3 linked regions of the Oryza sativa Japonica Group genome follow. The protein of the gene in region 3 binds, or shares a complex with, the protein of the main gene of each other region. Links are inferred from orthologs where the notes say so. Each region holds a gene or a part of one and is shown on either strand. Other genes may lie near its edges.

Region 1 (3,951 bases), on a different chromosome or scaffold from region 3:
ACAAATTACTTATTGTTTGTAAATGTGTCGTTTGGCTTATTCCAAGAATAAGCCAACCAATGGGGGTGCGATTTGGATGGAGATAGCATTTCATAACTCGATAATTACTCTGACAAATAGAACAGCTAAAGCAAAATCAATCAACCATTCTTTTTATTATTATTATTTTCCTATGTTGAGGTTCACACATAGAATTTTTCATTTGTAAAAGGACACACCATTTAACAGTTCGGAAAGCGTGCGCACATAAAACAAAGATTTGAAGTTGGGAAAGGGAAGAACCAAACACACCCTTAGGCCCCGTTTAGTTCCAAAAATATCAAATCGAATATTTGGACACATGTATGGAGCATTAAATGTAGATTAAAAGAAAAACTAATTACACAGTTAGGGGGGAAATCGTGAGATGAATCTTTTGAGTCTAATTAGTCCATGATTAGCCATAAGTGCTACAGTAACCCACATGTGCTAATGGTGGATTAATTAGACTCAAAAGATTCGTCTCGCGATTTCCAAGCGAGTTATGAAATTAGTTTTTTCATTCATGTCCGAAAACCCCTTTCGACATCCGGTCAAACGTCCGACGTGACACCCAAAAAATTTCATTCCGCGAACTAAACATGCCCTAATATTTGTAACATAGATGAACAATACAATTGTAAGACACATAAGGATTGTAACTCTTATATTTTCATTAAAATCTCTGTTGGGGGTGTCCATTTTATAGAAATTTTACAGGGGAGTATAGGATTGAATTATTTGTTTAAAAAAAACTCGTTAGAATTATCATTATAATTAAAATGCTCTAATTTTCTATAGGACCAAAAGAGGTCTAGGCTGTGTGTTTAGTTCTACACTAAAATTAGAAGTTTGGTTAAAACTGAAAGTTTAAAGAAAAAAAATTAAAAGTTTATATTTGTAAAAATTTTTGATGTAATGAAAAAATTGGAAGTTTGAAGAAAAAGTTGGAAAGTAAACCAAACCCTGAAGGGAAACTTTTATTTACTGCAAACCGAAAGAAAAACCAATGGCTCCAAGAAGCGCCATGTGTGAAGGCGTGAAGAGGAAGGCGGAGTTCGTGCGCGCAACCGATTCATCAACCAGATTTGAGAAACTTTCGCGTCCGCCTCCGTCCAGAACCTTCCCCATTCCACACTTCCATTTATTCTCCCAACCGCACGCGCTCCGACGCGCAGAAAGGCAGCGCCGTGACTGAGAACAAGAGAGGCCGGCACAGAGAGACGCTCTCGGCTAGGGCACGGATCGTCGCGACGAAGGAAGGTATTATTGCTGCCTCTGATTCTCCTCATGTTTTATCTCTGCTAAAGACGGTGAATCCGTTCGTTCTCTGTTCCAGTATGGCGATGGTTTGCCCCTCTGATCTGTATAAAAACATCCGTTTATATTTATTTATTTTTGTTATTCTTAATCTATATAAAGATAAATCCTAGCTGTAGTTCGAAGCGTTGCGGCAGGAGTTCCCCATCTTGGATAGCGGCTCATTTGTTAAAATGATCTGATTTGCGTGTATTTGCTTTGCAAAAGAAGAGGTATAGATTGCTAGTACATGGGTTTCTAGAGGGGCACGAAATGAAGAAATGAAGGGAACAAATTGTTGTACAACTTGTGGCATAATCATTTTTTGTCCATTGTATATGTAGTTTGAAACGCAACTGTCGAAAGTTCGAAACTTGCATAGTGCCCCTACATGCCTCGGAGGAAACTTAGGGACAGTGTTAGGAAGTCGATTTATCTTAGGGACTGTATGGTTGGAAGCTTCAATTGCTGAGCGCAATTGCATAAGTTATAGTTCATGATTACCATGCTGAAAATAAACAAAGAATCTCCTGTCTTGCAGTTTCTTGTTCATTTCGTTATGTTGGTTTGTGGATTATTTTTGGCGTGCGCTAGGTATATACTCTGGGTCATCTCTTCATTCTGAAGATAATAATTTTGTTTTGCAAAATATCTTACTGATTGGCATATTGTCACCAAGGTGTCATAAATTAATCAGTTACAACTTCAAAAGGCTATGAACCCACTGTTTGTTATAATTACATTTTCAAGTGGCATCTCATGTTTTTGTATATATTTGTTTCTCTAGTGGATATTGATGCAATCATATGTCTATCTTGCAGATGTCGTACTCCAGAGGATCAAGGTACGCATTACCAAACTTAATTTTTTTCCACATTTTTTGAAGCCCTGTCTTGTGATTATTGATTGGCTCCTACTGATAGATATGAGTCCGACTCATATTCTACATCGCCCAGACGGAGCAGCCGTTCAAGGTATAGGAGTCGTTCTAGGTATGGTATTTATCTTAGCGCTTAGTATGTTTCTGCCTTCACTCTATATTCGAGGGTGAACATTTTTGCCTACTGTAATTCTGATGAGTATGTGATATCCTTTTGATGTCTTTAGAAGTGTGGACTCAAGTGATGTTGAAAACCCTGGGAACAACCTGTATGTTACTGGCTTATCTGCTCGTGTGACAGATCGAGATCTGGAGAAACACTTTTCTGCTGAGGGAGAGGTAACCTTTATAGAGTATCTGCAAAGGGATACCAAAATAGTGTACAACTTTTTAAGCTCACCGTATTACAGGTTATTGATGCTAGCATAGTACTTGATCCATGGACAAGGGAATCCCGGGGATTTGGATTTGTTACCATGGCTACTGTTAAGGAGGCTGATCTTTGCATCAAATATCTAGACCGCTCAGTGTTGGAAGGTCGTGTGATAACTGTAGAGAAGGTATAATCACAATATATTTACTGAATTTCTTCACTTCTACTTGGAGTGAAATTTATATGCTCATTTAGCTTGCTGAGCTGAATATTTGAGTGCTCTTCCGTTTGAAGCTTTTGTTGACAGCAGCAGGGTAGATGTCCGTTGCTGCTCTACGTCAAATTCAAAAGATTTACAACCTAACAGCCAAACATGCTACCTCAACCAAAGGGTTGTATGCCCTACATTATATAGTCTCCATATTAATCATGTCGTTCAGATTCCCAATTTGTTGCATCACTCTTTAATGCTAATATGGCGAAAAGGCTTATTTGAATCCTTTCCACAGGCCAAGAGAAGACGTGGTCGAACACCAACGCCCGGAAGGTATCTAGGCACAAAATCATCATGTGGTAAGTTTGATTTAACTGCTGCTGTGTCTGGATGGTTTGGTCTCATTTCTCTGGAAAATAGGAAGCATTGCTAGCCTTTCCTGATATAATACAACTGATTGCTGAATATTTTTTATTATACAGTGACACCAGCACGGAGGTATTCCCCAAGCTACTCGCCTGTTGAAAGAGACCGCTACAGTTCACGCTACTCACCTGAGCGAGAACGGTCTTATTCTCCTTATGGTAGAAGGCGATCATATTCTCCATACAACAGGCGAAGATCATACTCCCCCTATGAGAGGCGTAGATCCTACTCTCCACATGAAAGGAGACAGTCCTACTCTCCGTATGGCAGATCCCCTTCTCCTTATGGTAGACGGCGATCATACTCTCCCTATGACACACGTGGTTCACGGCGTCGGTCATACTCATCTTACCGTGGTTCCCGCTACCGTTCAAGATCTCCATACCGTTACAGAAGAGAGAGGTCATGTTCCTATGACCATTCTGTTTCACCATACTATAGAAGGTGCTATTCTCCAAGTGCTAGAGGACGGAGCTATTCTCGCAGTGTATCACCTCAGAGGAGCTACTCCCATAGCTGTTCCCCGGATTCTCAGAGGTCAGGGAGCTATTCTCCAAGGAAAAGATACAGTGAAAGGAAACCGTCGCGCAGCAGGTCGTCGGGTAAGAGGCATTCTAGGGAGAGCTACTCTCACAGCCGCAGTTCCTACTCAAGGTCTGTCTCCAGGGAGCGCTCAGAATGAATTGAAGCTTGATGTTCTAGAGATCAATAAAGCTCTCTATGCCTAAGTGTATGTCTGTA
Region 2 (4,237 bases), on a different chromosome or scaffold from region 3:
GCTGCTCGTACACCTGTATTGCCTCACTCAACCTCCCAGCCTTGCATAAGCCCTGAATCAATATGTTGTAAGTAATCACATCATGCTCAATCCCCTTTTTAACCATTTCCTCAAACATCCCAAGCGCTTCGTCCACCCTCCCATGGGTACAAAACCCTGTGACCAAAATGTTACAGCTGACTGTACTCTCCTTTAAACCCTTCCCGAGCATTTCATCATACACCTTGCGAGCCATCTCGAAATCACCAGCTTTACAATAGTAGGCCACCAGAGAGCAGTAGGCATACTCGTTAGGCTCCATTCCTTTGTCCACCATCTCATTCCAGATTTGCCGCGCTTCGTCTATGCAGCCCATCTTGCACAATCCGTCGATCGCCGTTGTGTATGTGACCGCATCGACGTTGTAGCCCCGCAGCTTGATCTCGTTGAAGACTCGCAGGGCCTCGCTTCCCATCTTGTGCGCGAAAAGCCCGTGGATAATGCGCTGGTAGATGACCGTATCTGGGACACTTCCCGCGGCGATCATGAGGTGGAGCGTCTCGGACACCTTGCCGAAGTTGGCGGCGGCGGAGAAGGCCGCGACGAGATCCGCAACGGCGTCAAGCTGGGGAGGGACGCCGCGGCGAGCCCCGTCGCGGAGGAGGCGGAGGCCGTCGAGCGGACGGCCCTCGGCGGAGCAGGCGCGCACGAGGAAGGCCACGGTGGCGGCGTCGCCCGGGAAGTCCGGGGAGGATGAGAACGCGGAGAAGAGGCGGAAGACGAGGTCGGGGCGCGCGGCGCGGAGGGCGGAGCGCATCGCGAAGTTGAGGGCGCGGAGGGAGGGGTGGATGCCGAGGCGTGAGGCGAGCACCTCGGCGGCGTCGGCGGCGTCGGGCGGCCAGAGCTGGATCAGGAAGCCGTCCACGCCGGGGAGGAGCGGCGGCTCGTGCTCGTGCTCGTGCTCGGGCTCCGCCGGTGCGGCGTCGGGGGCGGCGGGGAGGTGCGAGGAGAGGAAGCGCAGGAAGCGGAGGGAGGGGTCAGGGGAAGGCAGGAGGTGGGAGAGGGTGAGGCGGACGCAGGCCGGGTGGAAGAGGAGGTCGCCGGGGAGGAGCGAGAGGAGGCGGGACTCGTAGCGCGCCGCGCCGAGGATGTTCGCCGCGGCCGTGGCGGCCGCGGCCAGGAAGGTGGCCGGCGGCGGGTTGTTGGCGTCGGCAGCAGCGGCGGCGGCGGAGGTGGAGGTGGAGCAGAGGCGCTGCACGGAATGACGCACCGGCCGCAGCATCGTGGCGGCGGCGGCGGCGGCGCGAGGAGTGTCAAGTGTGTCACGGTGGCCGCGGCCAGGTTTGCCTACGAAGACTTTTCCAGGCTTGGAGGCGGGTCAGATGGGCCGCTGGCCCATGGGCCCATGGGCCTTCGAGTTCTCCTAGATAAAAGCGCCCCGTGCCGTGCTGCATCGTCACCTCTCCTCGCCCAAGCCTTCGTCGACAGAAAGAAAAAAAAATCCAAACCTCAGAGAAACCCTAGGCCGGGTCGCGGCGAGTCGGCGGCGATGGCCGGGTACCGGAGCCGGAGCCGGAGCTACAGCCCGCAGCCGCGCCGGAGGTACAGCCGGAGCCCCCCGCGGTACAAGCGGTACGATGACCCGCGCGACCGCTATCCTCGCGGCGGAGGTGGAGGTGGAGGTGGAGGCGAAGGGCCCCGCCGCGGGTATGGCCGGCCGCCTGCGCCGACCGGGCTCCTCGTCCGCAACATCTCGCTCACCGCAAGGTGCGTAGCCGTTGCCCTCTTTGGATTATTATTTTTTTTTTGCCCATTTGATCTAGGGCTTACCGCAATTTGAATAATTGCTAGTAGCACAGCGCTATGTGGTTTGGTTGATACGTTCAGTGTGTAATCCCTGTGAATCTGCACATTGTTTTGTTTGGTAGTTGCATTAGGCTTGGTTGTGTGCTTCTGTGCTTTTCAGTCTTATATGTGTTTTTATTTGTTGCTGTATTCAGAATAAAAAACAGAGCAGGTTTGTTTTGATGTGGAACTGTTGAGAAAATACGACGGTTTTTTTCCTGATAGTTTGTATGCCAGCAAATGCTTGCTGGACTCATGGTAGTGGGCTGTTTCACACTTGTTGCTCTCTAGGAGAGAACAAATGTTTTGGAAGCCATTCACTAAGGTTGAACATGTTGGTATAGGTAGCTTCCATATTCCATACCCTACCTTAGTAACCTAATGCATTTTTCTAATGGTTTTGCGCATTGGATGTTCATCTGTACAGAGTGCCTTGAGATTCATGCATCAGTTAGACATGCAAACCAGAATTCCCATCTTCAAATAGCTCTTATTGTACATTAAAAATTTCCTAGCACTTTAGGCCCTGTTTGGGGAGCTTGTCCCAGCTGCAGCTTTTCCCAAAAGCTGCTTCTGCTAGAAGCTGCCCCAAACAGTCCACAGCTTCTGAGAATCTGTAGTTCTGAAAAATGAACTAAGAAGCCATAAGCTGGAGAAGCTGGGTTTCAGAGCTTTTCCAGATTCTCAGAAGCTGGCTACCAAACAGCTGCTTCTCATAATCTAAAGCTCCCCCAAACAGGCAGATACAACAGTGCATGGATGTCCACATATGTGGATTAGCATTTCTCTTGCATTTTTTTGTATCATCCAAGCTTTCACCCAAATGTCTTGTTACCAGGTTTTAACAACTCAAGTGTCAGGTTGGATTTTAACTGCATATATTGAGATGGAACATTTTTCAGATCTATTATGAAGTTTTATTTCGGTAGAGGCTAAATTGTAAGCACTAAATTGTGTTCCTTTAAGTGTTCCTAGAATTAATCTAGTTCTTTTAGATATGGCTTTGTTAGCAGAACCGTTGTTTTATGAACTTTGCATCATATAATGCTGCTTATGTCTCTGGAAAACAAAAACAAATGTATGAACTCTGGATGTATTCATATTTGTATATAGACAGTGGTTGCAACCTTTGATAATTCAGATCTTGTAGTTTGGAGACATAATGCTACTGTTCTAGGTTCCCTTCTCGATAGTTTGGAACGCTCAGGATCTTTTTTTTAAGTCAACATTTTCTACACTGCAAGCATGTAGTACATAAGTAGCCAGTGCACAGTAAATCATTCTTATATACAGCTTTCCACAATCACATACTGAAGTATCTTCTTTTTGTATGTAGATGATTTTGCACTGTAGCTACTAATTATGGTTTAATATTATTTGATTTTCGTTTTTTGCAGGCCTGAAGATATTCGTATTCCGTTTGAGCAATTTGGCCCTGTAAAGGATGTCTACCTTCCAAGAAATTTCCATACAAGGTAATAATAACTTATCTTATGTTTCTTACACAATTGTTTTGGTGCATTTGAGTTCTAGTTAAGTCAATATCTTAATTCTGGAACGTTTATCATGTTGCACAGAAGATAAGCAATTCTTTGAACAACATGAAGAAATTGCGTTAATTGAACCCAGTAATTTTTATCATTATTATGAACATTTCAAAGAGCATTTGTTTCCAGGCTGCCTTATGCTTGTGCTTTGATGTTGGTCTGAACCATGTATTCTGCTTGGAAATAGGGTTTATAGATGCTTGTTGCACATTCTGTGTTCTTTTAAGAATGTCTTTTGATGTGTATATTGATTTTGTCTGATTCACAATCACTTCCATGATCGTGTTAAATTGTTGTAGGGAATTACGTGGCTTTGGGTTTGTAAAATTCCGCTATCCAGAAGATGCTGCAGTGGCCAAGCAAGAATTGAATCATCAAGTTATTGGTGGACGAGAGATTTCAATAGTTTTTGCCGAGGAGAACAGAAAAACCCCACAAGAAATGCGGATGAGGACAAGAACAAGGTGCTTAATTTTTTATATTTTACCAACTTCCAGATTAGGCATTTGGAATATATATGATAGCAGCGACTGGAATTTGATGTAACAAAAGAAATGCTTTGTGCTTCTGTCTGTGTAGTGGAAGATACATGGATGGTAGCCACAGAAGGCGGTCAGTATCAAGATCTCCAAGGTCTCGTTACCATTGTAAGTATAAATGTTTGTTATATGAGTTAATATTTTATGATTTTTAATCTCATCACTAAATGATCTCTATTTCCTGTCAGCTTATTCACCTTCACCCTCTCCAGCTAGACGTGACTACAGGTATCATCTCAATATTTTAGTATTTACATATAGCATAGCAAATACGCTTGTCCTCTCCTGTTTGTCAGTGTTTCACTCTTTTTCCTTTCAAACATCTCT
Region 3 (8,037 bases):
AAGTTGGCTGCGAAGCCTAACATACACCATAGGATCATTCATCGTGAGCTCAAATAATCCTCTCTTTCAGATCTTCGAATTTCGCAAACAGTTTGTCCCTGCTTTCCTGCATATATGATAAAATGATCTTAGGATCACACAACAGGAATGACTGGCGCTTGCTTTGTAGGGAGTTGAAAATGTACCTTGAAGAGGAGGTACCGTGAAGTGAACCAAATTGAGTAACCAGTTCCTATGAGTTCAAGAACTTTTGGAACCTGCAATGAGATGATCAAGCGGTTTAGGAAGTACAGTGTAAACTCTTCAAGTAATAAGTACGACAAAACTATATCAACCCTACTACTGCTGACAACTAGAACTACATTTTTCAGATACTGGACAACTAGGACTACATTTTTCAGATAATGGACAACTAGGCGTATATACCAGGAGCGGTTTGAAGACAGATTTTAACTATTTTCGATACATACAAATTTGTAAACAATGTCATATCTACATATTTGGTGAAAAATGTCATATCTACATACCAAGGGAATGGAATCGATTGCAGAAACAACTGAAGATAGAACCCATAGGACAACCAAAGCACCGGATCCATAGAGGACAAGAGTTGGTGTCACTTGGATGTCCAGCTGAAATGAACGATTAAAAAATTTGTGTGAGCAACAGTACTAAATGCAGTACAGCAAAGGCGTTTCAATGCCTCATCCCGTATAGCAAACACAAGAACAGGCAAGCTGAATATATGGAAATGGATGCAGGAAAGATGAGATTATGGTGATACATACACTCGCTTCTGAGTTAACAGAAATAGAAGGAAAAAAAACAATGTGGTACGCTATACATGAAACAATCAAACTTCAATCCATAGCAAGAAAACTATGGCATATGGCATTTGTTTCTGTCTATCATGTGTTGGGGTTTAGAGCTCTGTCTCTGCAAACCTCATGCTAGGTCCTAATCACCCAGCTCACAAACTCTCACATTTTGGTACACGAGTCGGTGACTGAACTCAATTTTACATTTTGAGATCTATCAAGTATGCATTTGTCATTGGATTCTTCACCATACTTCTGTATGCAATATTCTTCAACTCGTCTCTCCTCTCAATCATTTGACAGCAACAGGTAATTGGGCATTGATATGTCAGAATTGGCGATCAATTCAGAAACATCAACAGGTACAACGAGGCAATACCTTGCTGAGGATGTCATCCAAGCCGCCGTCCTCCTCGGCTGCCCCCGACGACACCGGCGCCGCCGCCACGGTCTCCAGAGACCCGCCATTAGAGACCGCCGCGACCTCCTCGCTCTTCTCCTCCGCCGGCGGCGGATCGGGCTTGTCCTCCGTGACGACGACGGTGGACGCCGACGCCGACGCGGGCTCCTCCGATGGCACCGGGTCCGGCGCCGCCGCGCTCGCGCACCGCCATCCTGGCGACAACCATCACCAACAGCAAAACCGTCAGAAAGATAATCAATCAATCAATCAAAAAAAATCGTGGCGCGTTCGGGCACCTCGAGTCGGGAGGTGGCGGTTGCTGCGGCGGAGGGTGGCGGCGGCGGCGACGGCGGGAGGAGCAGCGCGGCGGTGGTGGAAGGAGGAGGCGAAGCATAAGGGGGCGGTGGCGCGCGCGGAGGCGACGGTGGAGACGAAGAGCTCCATTTTTTTTTTCTCTTCCTCGGCTTTCTGTGGAGGCCCGAGAAGGCTGGGGGTTTGAGGTTTTTGTGAGCTGGGAGGAGGATGAGGGTGGTGGTGGGCTAGTGGCTCAGTGAGACTGTGCGAGTGAGCTGTGCACTACTACTACTTGTGCTGATGCTGTCCGAATTTTTCTTTTCTTTTTCTTTTTCTTCTCTTTTTTCACACACCCTGATTTTTTGTTTGTGCTTTTGGAGGGTGACATGTGGCGCTTTCTCTTTTGCTCGCTCCTTTTCTCTGAGTACCACCTGTGTGTGTGGTGTGGTTTCGCATTCTTTGGATGGATCTACTTTCATTTTCATTCTTCTTTTTCTGGTACAATTATACTCCCTGTAACTGTAGTCCTGTACCATGCAATTTAACTGTAGCATAATTCGTATTCTAGAAGATTTTGGCCTGTTAAAATACAAACAAATTGATAGTGTCCGTAGTACATGTGGAGTAGTATGTGCTGCCCATTTAGATCGAGTTGTCTGGGTACTTCCACGCCACCATTTTTTCCAAGTCCATAAAATATTTTCTATTTATTTTAGTACGGCAGATTTTCATTCGCTAGCCAACCATAGAACTGACACATTACATAGGCACTTTCTCTTTTTCCTGGGATAATACATTAACATTTGGGGTAACATTTTCTAGTGGACCAAAAATTTTGTCGGCTGGTAACACGGCCTTTGAGAAGGCCCAGTACTGCAGGTATACCATTCCGTCCGGTCTCCAGCCCGCTTCCTTACGTTGTACTTAGTAGGATAATTTGGGCTGGCACAGTAAGTAGGCCTAGCATTTTCACCGACCACGCGCGTGGGCCTGGCTGGGTGGTGACAATGTGTGTCATGTGGAGCCCAAATTGGCAGATTAAACTCGTGTTAGCAAGCGAAATTAATGGGCCCACTTGTCAGTCTCATTTATTCTCGTTAAACAAACAGGCAAACATTCCGAGCCGTTAATACCGTAGCCTCGTTACTCGTTACTCACTCCGTCCAAAAAAAAATAAATCTAAAATATAGAATGTGACATATCCTAGTAGAACGAATCTGGACATATGTATGTCCAGATTTATTGTACTAGGAAGTACTATGTTGGTTTTTTATGAGACGGAGGGAGTAGCCATTACCCGTGCAGACAAGCATGGCTCCGTTCGAGCAGGAGAGATTGCTGGGAGATTGAGGAGAAAACATCTACTTTTCTACGCGCACACTTCCCAAACTACTAAACGATGCGTTTTTGGCAAAAAAAAATTCTTTTGAAAAGTTGTTTTAAAAAATCATATTAATCTATTTTTAAAACTTACAATAGTTAATACTCAATTAATAATACACTAATGGCTCACCTCACCTTATTTTGCGTATCTTCTCAATCCCCTCTTTCCTATCCTCTCAGGATTCAACCCAGTTATCATCATCACCAGTATTAATAGTTTCCAGCCCAAGGAATTATTTTGTTTCGGACTAGAAGTCTCAGACACGATGGTATTTGCTTCGGATTGGCTAAGGATTTGGTGCATATTTATCGGCCCAGCCCAAATTCTTATCGGGCCTAGCCCATCCGGTAGCCGCCATAACCCCACCGGCCACCGTGGTCAGCTTCTCTTATCGCGTTGCCCAAATAATTACACGAATCGAACCAAACCCTAGCTTTTCCTCTTCGATTCCCGATCCCCCACCCAGCGACTCGCCGGAACCCTAGCCCTAGATCCCGCGCGGCTTGCCGCCGTGCTAGCCATGGCGTCCCTCAAGGAGCTCCTCCCGACGCCCAAGGCGGCGGCGTCGACGTTCTACGACCACAGCAGCGACCCGTGGTTCAAGGAGCGGTATGGCGGGGAGTCGGCGCAATCCGACGCGGCGGCGGCGGCGGCGAAGCCTTCGGGCCCCGCCAAGCCCGTGCCGCCGTACGGGAAGCGTGGCGGGTTCGTGCCGCGGCGGCCGGAGGACTTCGGGGACGGCGGCGCCTTCCCGGAGATCCACGTCGCGCAGTACCCGCTCGGCATGGGCCGGCGCGACGAGAAGGGCGGCTCGAAGATCCTCGCGCTCACCGTCGACGCCAAGGGCAGCGTCGCCTTCGACGCCGTCGTGAAGCAGGGTGAGAACGCCTCTAAGATCGTTTACTCAAAGCACAGCGACCTCGTGCCCAAGATTGCCACGGCTGATTCCGAGGCAACCGCGGACGACGAGGAGTACCAGAAACAGATCGAAGAAACCACTGAACGAACTAAAGCTGCCTTGGAGAAGGTTGTCAATGTTCGGCTCTCCGCCGCACAGCCCAAGAATGTGCCGACGCATGATTCAGAGTCAAAGTTTATCAAGTATAAGCCATCGCAGCAATCGGCAGCCTTCAATTCAGGTGCCAAGGAGAGGATTATTAGGATGTCAGAGATGGCTCAGGATCCTCTTGAGCCACCGAAATTCAAGCATAAGCGAGTGCCCCGCGCTTCTGGATCACCGCCTGTCCCAGTGATGCACTCGCCACCACGGCCAGTGACAGTGAAGGACCAGCAAGATTGGAAGATTCCACCATGCATTTCAAATTGGAAAAATCCAAAGGGTTACACCATACCACTCGACAAGAGGTTGGCAGCTGATGGAAGGGGGCTGCAGGAGGTTCAAATTAATGATAACTTTGCAAAGCTCTCTGAAGCACTGTATGTGGCGGAGCAGAAGGCCAGGGAGGCAGTACAGATGCGATCCAAGGTGCAGAGGGAGCTGCAGCTGAAGGAGAAGGAGAGGAAGGAGCAAGAGCTAAGGGCACTTGCACAGAAGGCGCGCATGGAGAGGACTGGTGCCCCACCTGCACCTACAGGGGTTCCTGCTGGTGGTGGTAGAGGTGCTGTTGATGACAGGGAGGAAGATATGGATTTGGAGCAGCCTCGTGAGCAACGAAGGGAGAGTAGAGAAGAAAGGGAAGCAAGGATTGAGCGTGACAGGATTCGTGAGGAGAGGAGACGTGAGAGGGAGAGAGAGAGGAGGCTGGAGGCCAGGGATGCTGCAATGGGCAAGAAGAGTAAGCTCACTAGAGACAGGGATCGTGATGTCAGTGAGAAGATTGCCCTGGGCATGGCAAGCACTGGCGGTGCTAAAGGTGGGGAAGTCATGTATGACCAGAGGTTGTTCAACCAGGATAAAGGAATGGACTCTGGGTTTGCTACAGATGATCAGTATAACATCTACTCCAAGGGTCTCTTCACAGCGCAGCCAACGCTATCCACACTTTACAGGCCTAAGAAGGACGGTGATTCTGATGTGTATGGCGATGCAGATGAACAACTGGAGAAGGTTATGAAGACAGATAGGTTCAAACCAGACAAAGGATTTTCTGGTGCTTCAGAGAGGTCTGGAAAGAGAGACAGACCTGTGGAGTTTGATAAACAGGAGGAGAATGATCCCTTCGGTCTTGATCAGTTCTTGACTGAAGTGAAGAAGGGGAAGAAAGCTGTTGAGAAGATTGGAAGCGGAGGAGCCATGAGGGCAAGTGGTGGATCCTCAATGAGAGATGATTACGAGGGTGGAGGATCTGGGAGGTCCCGCATTAACTTTGAAAGAGGTCGTTGAGGTATTAGATCTGCATGTTTTGTTCAGAAGTTTCTCCATGCATTCCAAATGTTATCTGGAGGGTATTCTGTTGAGAATATCAACTTCTTGATGAGAGGACTTGATGTCTGAGTTGTCTTAATGCAACGTCTACTTCCAAGGGGCATCTTAAGGAGTGTACCTGTTTAGATCCTGTGATTATGCTTGTTGTTTATCTATTTGTGGATGGATCTGTAAGCTTAACTTATCATCATTCCATATCCCTTATATTTTGTGGTGCTTTATGAAGTCTCGATGTGTCTGGCTGACCTTACATTTTCTGGTACTGTACCAAGTCTTTAAGATGTATCTGCCTATCTGGCTGAAATACTGAGACACGGGATACATATAAATTCCGTGTTCTGTTTTTTCACAAGTTCTAATTATTTCATGCTACCATGATTGTTGGCTGGATGGATTTCTGGGTATTGCCAATATCGGTATGTTGTTTTGGGGATATTCATGTTTTGTGCAAATAGTGAATTCTTCGAAAATTTTTTGTCGGTAAGCATTTTCTGTTGCAAGACTTTGCCGGAGCATTCCCTTTGCTTGCAGTTGATGTGGTTTCTGTAGTACCAACTTTCGGATTAAATAACTTCTCTTTTGTGATTATTACTGGTAAGATCATGGCATAATTTTAAAACACTATCCATCCTAAAATAAATAAACTTAATACATGATATGATATATCTTAGTATTAGAATCTGAACAGATACACACTTTCAGTTTGTTTTGTCTTTTCCTTTAGTTATGTAGATTCAGCCATAGTGTTGTGTTTTTCTTCAGGTATGCAGATTCAGCTATAGGAAATTAGGAACACAGTGAAGAGGAAAGTTTTCATTAGCACGTTTTCTTGTGTGAAGCGCAAATAACAGGATTTTGGTGTTCTTTGATTTTGGCCAAAATCTTCATGGCATGGATGGAATTTTCTCAAAGCTGAAAACCGTAATTTTCTGACGGGCTGAGCAAATTACGCTGGCTGATAACTCCGGCCTGCTTAATGCCTAGGCCCAAACGAAGCAGCCGAGCAACCTTGAGGTTCCATCGGCACCCCTGTTCGGCTACAAAAAGCACCTCACTTTCTTCCTTGCTCATATCTGAGCCCAAGATCCTGATGCTACTCTTCCCAGTGACAAAGAGAACCTCGGTCTCTGACGAATTTTTTTCATTTTTAATTTTTTTCTTTTAATATTTACAGAAATAATCCATCGGCGCAAAAAATTACAAAAATAGACCCCTGCCGCCCTCCACTAGGGCGGCAAGCTGACGTGGCAAACGGGGGAGGGACGGGCGGTGACGGCAGACGGGAGAGGGAGGGTTTTTTTTGCACGAAAACCCTTGCCGCCCTCTGGCCCCCATGCAAAAAAGCCAGCCCGAGCCTAGTACTTTTTGGCTGGTACTTTTTACATCTGGGTCCCTTGCCGCCCTCTAATAAGACGGCAAGGGGCCTAGATGCAAAAAGTACCAGCCAAATGCTCTTTAGGGCTGTGAAAATTGCATTTAGCCCCTTGCCGCCCTTACAGAGAGCGGCAAGGGGCTAAATGCAATTTTCGCAGACGGCGGCAGACGGCGCCGTCGAGCCGCCGTCTGCCACGTTAGCTTGCCGCCCTCCATTAGAGCGGCAGGGTCTATTTTTGTAATTTTTTGTGCCAATAGATTATTTCTGTAAATATTAAAAGAAAAAAATTAAAAATGAAATAAATTCGTCTCTGACCTCACTCTGAACCCTTCTCCTTTTTTTTCAACGGCCAAACAAGATTGCTTTACGCTATATTGATAAAAGAAGTTTAAGTACAAAGTAAAAACTGAAAGAAAAAGGAAAAACTGTACATTACTGACTGCAAACTGCAAATATGCTTGCACGTCAGTCCACCTTATTCCTCATGGCAATAATCTCGTAAAGTATTTTGCGTCGGTCAACTCTAGCAACCCAACTTGTGATTGATTCTTACTCTGAACCCTTAACCCCCTCAATGCAGCCATGGCCGCTCGTAGCCGATCGATCGATCGAATCCAAAATCTCCCAAATTCAGCAGCTAAAATCAGGTTCACGTCACCATGCCGCTGCAGGAGATTCCGCACCAAAGGCAAAGAAAGAAACGTTCTTTGCTATCCAGCATATCATAGCAGCGTAGCCGTCGTCCTCGTCGTCCCCATCGATCCATGTCCTACGCGGTTATCAGGTTATCATGACACTGTTTGAATCGGAGAGCTTTGCATTCGCAACGCAAACCCAGTCGCCATCACCGAAACGAATGATCGAACTAGAGAGAGGAAGAGAGAGAAAGAGGTAGGTAAACAGATGGTTGGCACGGGCAGCGTGACGTGCACCGGTTTTCCCCCCGAGATTATATTCGGATTTGGTGTTCGCTTTATCATCGAGTACAACTGAATTGTCCCATCTTTTCTTACTACTAGCTTAAGCTGTTTTTAGGCTTCCTTTGATTCGAACAAAAATTATAGAAATTTTAAAGTATTTTATTTCTATAGAATTTTTTCATATATATAAACATTTGAATCAAATGAATGAATCCTATGAAATTTCTACGTGACCTTATTACATGCAAGTTTACATGGGAAGTTTTCTTTGAATATTTTATCTCTTCTCGAATTCATGTGTTTTTTCTACAGTCTAATTATAATCCTATGTTTTTTATATTCCTTTGCTTTTTCGTTCCTACAATTTAAAGAGTCTCAGTTGAACTGTTCGGTCTGTAACTCAGTACCGAGTCGGGTCTCATGGTGGATGGCGCTGTAGAATCAGTCGATCAAGCGA

What was found.
Region 1: SNW/SKI-interacting protein A-like (region 3) and serine/arginine-rich splicing factor SR45a share a complex: the UniProt entries of both Arabidopsis thaliana proteins name them as parts of the spliceosome. The link is inferred for Oryza sativa Japonica Group from reciprocal best matches to the Arabidopsis thaliana genes SKIP and SR45a.
Region 2: SNW/SKI-interacting protein A-like (region 3) and serine/arginine-rich SC35-like splicing factor SCL28 share a complex: the UniProt entries of both Arabidopsis thaliana proteins name them as parts of the spliceosome. The link is inferred for Oryza sativa Japonica Group from reciprocal best matches to the Arabidopsis thaliana genes SKIP and SCL28.

What each region holds. Positions count from the first base shown.
Region 1 is NC_089037.1:8,817,989-8,821,939, reverse strand, and holds the start of serine/arginine-rich splicing factor SR45a, read left to right. Parts: upstream 1-1,151; 5' UTR 1,152-1,281; intron 1,282-2,138; coding exon 2,139-2,161; intron 2,162-2,240; coding exon 2,241-2,309; intron 2,310-2,424; coding exon 2,425-2,536; intron 2,537-2,607; coding exon 2,608-2,757; intron 2,758-2,864; exon of another isoform or gene 2,865-2,962; intron 2,963-3,079; coding exon 3,080-3,143; intron 3,144-3,266; coding exon 3,267-3,892; 3' UTR 3,893-3,951. UniProt on the Arabidopsis thaliana protein: Probable splicing factor involved in constitutive and/or alternative splicing events. May bridge the 5' and 3' components of the spliceosome.
Region 2 is NC_089037.1:14,526,418-14,530,654, forward strand, and holds the start of serine/arginine-rich SC35-like splicing factor SCL28, read left to right. Parts: upstream 1-1,437; 5' UTR 1,438-1,528; coding exon 1,529-1,746; intron 1,747-3,221; coding exon 3,222-3,299; intron 3,300-3,670; coding exon 3,671-3,835; intron 3,836-3,950; coding exon 3,951-4,018; intron 4,019-4,098; coding exon 4,099-4,138; intron 4,139-4,237. Other genes in the region: pentatricopeptide repeat-containing protein At5g18950, read right to left, coding at 1-1,261. UniProt on the Arabidopsis thaliana protein: Involved in intron recognition and spliceosome assembly. Probably active at the 5' splice sites.
Region 3 is NC_089036.1:32,488,279-32,496,315, reverse strand, and holds SNW/SKI-interacting protein A-like, read left to right. Parts: upstream 1-3,318; 5' UTR 3,319-3,419; coding exon 3,420-5,243; 3' UTR 5,244-5,675; downstream 5,676-8,037. Other genes in the region: protein CURVATURE THYLAKOID 1D, chloroplastic, read right to left, coding at 50-106, 186-257, 528-632, 1,198-1,433, 1,518-1,665. UniProt on the Arabidopsis thaliana protein: Splicing factor involved in post-transcriptional regulation of circadian clock and flowering time genes. Associates with the pre-mRNA of PRR7, PRR9, ELF3 and GI, and is necessary for the regulation of their alternative splicing and mRNA maturation.